2 linked regions of the Arabidopsis thaliana genome follow. Changing the gene in region 2 together with the main gene of any one other region gives a genetic interaction. Each region holds a gene or a part of one and is shown on either strand. Other genes may lie near its edges.

Evidence for each region.
Region 1: of TIP1 (region 2) and CEV1, changing one enhances a phenotype caused by changing the other (phenotypic enhancement), as found in Arabidopsis thaliana (one study listed by BioGRID).

The regions. Positions count from the first base shown.
Region 1 is NC_003076.8:1,533,953-1,537,709, reverse strand, and holds the start of CEV1 (Cellulose synthase family protein), read left to right. Parts: upstream 1-2,151; 5' UTR 2,152-2,462; intron 2,463-2,572; 5' UTR 2,573-2,619; coding exon 2,620-2,643; intron 2,644-2,815; coding exon 2,816-3,011; intron 3,012-3,129; coding exon 3,130-3,335; intron 3,336-3,428; coding exon 3,429-3,531; intron 3,532-3,643; coding exon 3,644-3,757. Other genes in the region: AT5G05180 (myosin heavy chain, striated protein), read right to left, coding at 1-617, 714-786. UniProt on the Arabidopsis thaliana protein: Catalytic subunit of cellulose synthase terminal complexes ('rosettes'), required for beta-1,4-glucan microfibril crystallization, a major mechanism of the cell wall formation. Involved in the primary cell wall formation, especially in roots.
Region 2 is NC_003076.8:6,874,407-6,878,163, forward strand, and holds the start of TIP1 (Ankyrin repeat family protein with DHHC zinc finger domain-containing protein), read left to right. Parts: upstream 1-2,034; 5' UTR 2,035-2,365; coding exon 2,366-2,623; intron 2,624-2,727; coding exon 2,728-2,868; intron 2,869-2,989; coding exon 2,990-3,102; intron 3,103-3,597; coding exon 3,598-3,677; intron 3,678-3,757. Other genes in the region: BG5 (beta-1,3-glucanase 5), read left to right, coding at 381-1,445.

The DNA of each region.
Region 1 (3,757 bases), 5.3 Mb from region 2:
TTTCTCAATAGAGAAATTTTGCTGACAATCACACAACATTTCCCTTAGCTTAGAGATTTCAGAAAATGACACATCTAAACAGTCCCTACTCACCTCATGCTCATTCACTAGATGCTCAAATTTGAAACTTAAGTCTGAAAGCTCAGTTTCCAAATCAACCACCTGTCTTTGCACCTCGAGAACTCGCTTTCTCTCAGTCTCAATAGCTATGTCCCTAATCGCAATTTCTCCTTGTGCGATTTCTCGCTCACCACGTAGATACTCGCCAAACAGAACAACCGATTCTTTTTTCTCGGTCTCCTTTAGTTTCTCAATCTCTTGCTCAAATTCTTGAAGTTTCAAACTCGTAGTCCTAAGCTCTTCTTCACACTGGACATATTTCTTCATCAATTCTTCATAACTCATTTGTTTCTCCGGGGATAAGTCATGGCTATCCATTGACCCTGGTGATACGAGGTGATGGTTAAAAGATGAGTAAAAGGCCTCCGTGTCCGAATCTAAATCGGAATAAGAAGAGTTAGAATCATGATTGCCAGAAACATCAGAACTTCCTTGGTCAAAGTTGGAAGCTACTGTATCAGACTTTGGAGTTACAGGAGGTGAAGATCCATTGTGATCTGAAACTTGACAATTGATATGTCTAATAAGATTTCTACGTTTGAACGGAAACGCACACAACCAAAATAAGACATGAATGAATTATACGGTTATACCTGTTGAGATGTCCACAAAGGAATTCGAATTATGTGGCCACTCATCTGGGACCTCAACTGTTGTAAAATCCATTACACTTAAACAACAAAAAGCGAATCAACTTAAAAATGATCAAGCAAAAAAAAATCAAAGAAACGTAAACATAGAATGATGTAACAGAAAAACCCTAAAAATACAGAAGATATACGAGATATAAAAACTGGTAAGATTTTTATTTACTTTTTTTTTTTTTATACTCCTAAGATTTAGCTATAACTAAACGTATTTATATTTTTTGACCAAAAAAAAAAAAAACGTATTTATATTTATCTCTACAATAATTTCGATTAAAAATATCTAACAAAAAAAAAAGTTGTGATAATAATCAGTGGAAAACTATCATGAAGAGACAAGCTAATGTTCTTTAATTGAAATCTTAGAAAATAAAAAAACTAGGGTTGCGTAAATTTTAAGACTTTCTTATGTCACAGAACTGAACTTTTTTCACTACATGTAAACAGAAATTATAACTCATTTGCAACGGTGAAGAAACATAGACAAAGACCCTCCATAAATCTCAGAAAAACAGAGCAAGTAACTCAGATCATAAGATCTACAAAACACATCAACGGAACAAACAAATATCAAACCCTGAAATCTGATTCACATAGGACCAAATAAACATGAGATTTCACTGACCTTGAAAATTGATATGATCGAGGGAACAAAAGAGCAGATTTACAGGAAAAGTGAAGGAGAAACAAAGGAAGGTTTAAGTAGAGGATTGCTAGGGTACGAGAGTTACGAAGCAGAAGGTGGAAAGGTTTAAAGGGACGACAAAGAGGAGGGAAGATTTGTCGGATAGCGAAGAGAAAGTGGCGCTCTTTGGGATTCAAATGTTTGCCATTTTCTTCTTTTGTCTATCTGACAGTCTGTTCTTTGCTGCACTAGTGGCCACACATCTCCACATGCACCACCAGTTATCAAAGTTTGACCTATTAATTATTGGGTTCGGTTCGATTCAATTTTCTCTCGTAAATAACGTAAACCGAACATATACCAATTTTGTCTGCAAAGTCCAACAAACCCATTTTCTCGATTCTGTTGGGCTTGATGATACTAGAGTTGGACCTTTATTTTTTCAGCCCGCTGGTTTTAGCCTATTTTGATATACTAGTAAGTAAAGCATCACTATCAATATATTTTGATTTATTCATTGGACTAATCCGTTGATTAATTAATATTTTGAAGTTTTATTTTTGTCGGCAAATACTTTTTAAGTTTTATCTGTAAGAAAGTTAGTGACGATGAATATCCTTTACCCCACTACTTGTGATTTGTTGTGTTCTTCACACTTCTATTTTAGTTATATCACTATCAAATATCAATTACTATTTTGATTTAGTCACTAATTCGATGATAATATATTTCTAAGGATATTTTAAAGGTTTATCGGCCGTTTTTTCACTTTTTTTACAGCCACTGTAAAACTGTAACTAGAAAAAAATCGACTGTGGAAGTTGTCGGTGGTGGTGGTGGTTGTTGCTTGGTTGGATTATGATTTGTGACAAATATATTAATATTTTAAAAATCTGGAAGAGTGACGAGTAGAGGAGACAAATAGCTTGCTCTTTGCATCTTCTTAGCCATCCCAAGATTCTCCTCTTCGTCTTCCTTATAAACTATCTCTCTGTAGAGAAGAAAGCTTGGATCCAGATTGAGAGAGATTCAGAGAGTCACATCACCACACTCCATCTTCAGATCTCATGGTAAAGCTTTTAACTCTTCTTACACTCATGATCCATTCTCAGATTTGACTTCCTTTACTCGGATCTCCTCAGATCTAATCGTAGTTTCTGTTTTTGATAATTCCGATCAGATTTGAACTATTCCGACGTTTCGGTGTTGGAAGCAACTAAGTGACAAATGGAATCCGAAGGAGAAACCGCGGTATGCTTTTTTGACTCTTGCTTCATCATTATACTTACCTTTATCGAAATCAGGAATTATATGTACTGAAATTGATTGATTTGGGTGTTGAATTGTGTATTGGAGAGATCTGATTTCAAATTTTCTGTTGAGGTTTCTAATTTTGGCTTCATTGATTCGACTTGATTTGTAGGGAAAGCCGATGAAGAACATTGTTCCGCAGACTTGCCAGATCTGTAGTGACAATGTTGGCAAGACTGTTGATGGAGATCGTTTTGTGGCTTGTGATATTTGTTCATTCCCAGTTTGTCGGCCTTGCTACGAGTATGAGAGGAAAGATGGGAATCAATCTTGTCCTCAGTGCAAAACCAGATACAAGAGGCTCAAAGGTTCTCTTTTGATCCTTCTGAAGTATACTGTCTTCATTGTTCATCGATAGTTTATCAGTATGTTTTGAATTTTGGATCAGATTGGTATTTATAGCAATTTGCTAATTTCTGATTCTAGGTAGTCCTGCTATTCCTGGTGATAAAGACGAGGATGGCTTAGCTGATGAAGGTACTGTTGAGTTCAACTACCCTCAGAAGGAGAAAATTTCAGAGCGGATGCTTGGTTGGCATCTTACTCGTGGGAAGGGAGAGGAAATGGGGGAACCCCAGTATGATAAAGAGGTCTCTCACAATCATCTTCCTCGTCTCACGAGCAGACAAGATGTAAGGCATTGCTGTTCATTCTTCCCTCTTAAGCATTCGCATCCTCACGCAATTTAGTTTTGGAATCTGATTTTGTCATTTGCTTATTTACAGACTTCAGGAGAGTTTTCTGCTGCCTCACCTGAACGCCTCTCTGTATCTTCTACTATCGCTGGGGGAAAGCGCCTTCCCTATTCATCAGATGTCAATCAATCACGTAAATATCCTTTATTTCTAACTCTCTCGCCAACACATATATTTGTACCTAGGCTTCTCTTTTATGTCAAAACTCTAAACAATAAAATCTGTTGTTGTCATTCACGCTGCAGCAAATAGAAGGATTGTGGATCCTGTTGGACTCGGGAATGTAGCTTGGAAGGAGAGAGTTGATGGCTGGAAAATGAAGCAAGAGAAGAATACTGGTCCTGTCAGCACGCAGGCTG
Region 2 (3,757 bases):
TCAAAATTCCTGTATTTTTGGATACGTTTCTTCTAGACAACAAAATTCAATTGGGTTGATTTCAGTTTGTTATGGAATAGTAAGATTCAGTTAAACAATAAAATGTAAATAGAAAGTAACTAGTTAAAAAAGAAAACACCAAATTTGTAAATAGATCGAGGGCTAAGATTACACCAAGAACCAAAATAAAAGAATTTTACTATTTTATTCATACCAATAAGACTGAAAATAGACTCAGATATGCATCTATATATGCAAACAAATATTTTGCAACAAAACATAATAACACAAATCAAGTTTGGTTCTCTTCTTCTTCTTCATAGAAGTACGATCTTAGGATATCTCTATATACACACATTTTGCAGAAAAAAAGTTTCATCATGCTCTATTTGCCTAAGAAACTCTTCTTGTTCTTCTTCTCGTGCATTGTGGTGATTGTCAACTACAACAATAGTGACTTCGTAAACGCAGCAAATAGCATTGGCTTCGTAAACGCAGCAAATAGCATTGGCTTGAACTACGGTCTCCTCGGAGATAACCTCCCATCTCCGTCAAAAGTTATAACCCTTTACAAGTCCATAGACATCACTAAAATCCGAATCTTCGACCCAAACACTGAGGTTCTTAACGCTTTACGTGGCCATCGTGATATTGCGGTCACAGTAGGAGTTAGGGACCAGGACTTGGCTGCTCTTTCAGCTAGCGAAGAAGCTGTTAAGGGCTGGTTTGCGACCAACATCGAGCCTTACTTATCCGACATCAACATCGCGTTCATTACTGTTGGTAACGAAGTCATCCCCGGACCAATCGGTCCTCAAGTGCTTCCAGTCATGCAGTCTCTCACCAACCTCGTCAAGTCAAGGAATCTTCCTATCTCGATAAGCACGGTGGTGGCTATGTGGAACCTCGAGCAATCATACCCACCTTCCGCAGGAATGTTCACGTCTCAAGCGCGTGAACAACTTGTCCCCGTGCTGAAACTATTATCCCAAACAAATTCGCCTATCCTCGTAAAAATCTACCCTTACTTCTCCTATGCGTCCGACCCATCTAGCATCCGTTTGGACTATGCCACCTTCAACACTGAGGCCATCGTGGTACAAGATGGATCACTGGGCTATTCAAACATGTTTGATGCAATCTTTGATGCGTTCGTGTGGGCAATGGAGAAGGAAGGCGTTAAAGATTTACCAATGGTGGTGTCCGAGACCGGATGGCCATCTGCCGGGAATGGAAACATTACCACGCCGGATATCGCGGGTACCTATAACAGAAATTTCGTGAAGCATATAGCAAGCGGAAAAGGTACACCTAAAAGGCCTAACAAAGGCATCGACGGGTTTTTGTTTGCAACTTTCAATGAAAATCAAAAGCCGGTCGGGACTGAACAAAACTTTGGGTTATACAATCCGAATGATATGAAGCCCATCTACAATCTATTCTAATATGTGTGAAAGTTGCTTAGACTTTCCCGATTCATCAATAATTATGTTACACTAGTTGTTAGTGAATTAAAGTAAAACTAACAGTGATATATACACATACTATAAGCAACTGAGATGATGAGATCTCGTCGCGGAACTTAGTTGACTTTTGTAAAATTATTATTATTTAAAAGCAATTTCTCTGGTTTAGTAAACGTACTATGTTTCTTCATATATTTTTTTTTCTTCTAAAATCATTCCATTATGTTTCTTCATCTATTAATACAAGAGTATGCATTTTCAAAATAATACTTTTTTTATATATATATGCAAACCAGTGTTTTTTTTATCAAAATAAGAAATCACTGTCCCAAAATGATTCAATAGTTCAAGGTTTTATAAAAGATTTCTTAACATTTATAATATAACTCTTTTTGTCAAGATATGAAAAATGAAAAAGTATCTCTTATGATTAAGACAGATGTTTTGATTCGTTCATATTCCATTGAACTATATATATATCACTCAACTAGCCAGGTATAATATTTCCCATTACATACAAAAAAAAATGATCATGAAATTAATCAATTTATAAATGTTGGTTTTTTTTTTTTTGGTTAACACTAAAACCAAAAAATAAAATAATGTTGGGTTTTGTTTGACAAAAAAAAGTTAATGAAATGAATGAACGATAAGAATTGAGAGCAAGTCTGTCTCTGACCCGTCTTAATCCGATTCTTAGTCAATTTTTTGAGTTCGTCAATCATATTCTTCTTCTTCTTCTTCCTCTGATTCCCCCAGAAAAAACCTAGCTCCTTCCCTCATTTCCCCCCAAATCTCACGACTTATTTATGCTCGGGGGAGACTAATCAAAGGTCAAAATCCATTAGGGAGGGAATCGAATCTCGATCGATCTCAATTTCTTCTGAGAAAAGAAAAAAATGTCATCGGAGATTGAGGTGGTGGAAGAAATCCAATCGAATCCCAAGGAGAATGGGGAATCGAGTTCTAAAGGGATTGAAGAAGAGAGCTTGAAGAACGATGTCTATACTGCTGCCGCTTATGGTGATTTGGAGAAGCTTCATAGATTGGTTGAGTGTGAGGGTTCCTCTGTTTCCGAGCCTGATGCTCTTGGCTACTATGCTCTTCAGTGGTCTGCCTTGAACAACCGCGTCGCCGTTGCCCAGTACCTTATCGAGGTTTTGTGTCATTTTACGAATTGTTTGTTGATTGCTAAATTAGATTTGAACTAGTGGTTTTCAAGTTTCTAAAACTGATCCTTCTCGATTTCTGGTTTTTCCAGCATGGTGGAGATGTAAACGCGACGGATCATACTGGACAGACTGCATTGCATTGGAGTGCTGTTCGTGGTGCGATACAAGTTGCAGAACTGTTATTACAAGAGGGTGCAAGAGTAGATGCAACGGATATGTATGGCTATCAGGTTCATATCTCTTCTTTAACTACGCGTCCATGTTCTCTGCTGACTTCTATCAAATTTCCCTTCTTTTCTTGTTTAGTTCTCAATGGGTGTATGTTAATACTTAATTTTGAACTGCTTGTAGGCAACACATGTTGCCGCACAGTATGGCCAGACTGCTTTTCTTTGTCACGTTGTCTCAAAGTGGAATGCTGATCCTGACGTGCCTGATAATGATGGAAGAAGCCCCTTGCATTGGTATGCTTGCTGCAAAGCTTGCCTTCGTGAAATTGTTACTTAGTAATTGGTTTTTGGCTTCTTTTTATTTTTTCTTACAATTGTTTAGCCTTGCACGCTTATTTGGAGACTGGATAATTGGTTTTATTTGTTCCCTTTTCTTATTATTCCTATAGATTTAATATCTCTTCGTTCAATTTTGTTCTAGTTGCCAAGTATACTGGGTGGATTAGAATTAATTTTTGTCAACTATTTGCCTATGATAGTTCTCGAGTTTTTGTTATGAAGATTTGTGAATACGTATTACTGTTTTCCATCTAGAGACTAAGGTTACATAGGTTATTTTCTCTCCCGTTTTTCTTACTGAGACTTCGTTACCGTTACATGGATTATTCTACTGCATGATTTTTAGCTTTCTTATGTTGACCTTTTGATTTTATCCTATTTTTACAGTATCTTTTCAGAAGACAGTTCTAATTTCGTCTTTATATTCTTCTCATAATTTGAGAAATTCAGGGCTGCATATAAAGGTTTTGCAGATTCCATTCGCCTACTTTTATTTCTAGATGCATATAGAGGACGACAAGACAAAGAAGGTGGTTACAAACATATTTTTTTTTTAAATCTTCTTTGTTTATTTTCTTAGATTAACTATACGTTTCTAACATCTTCTCCG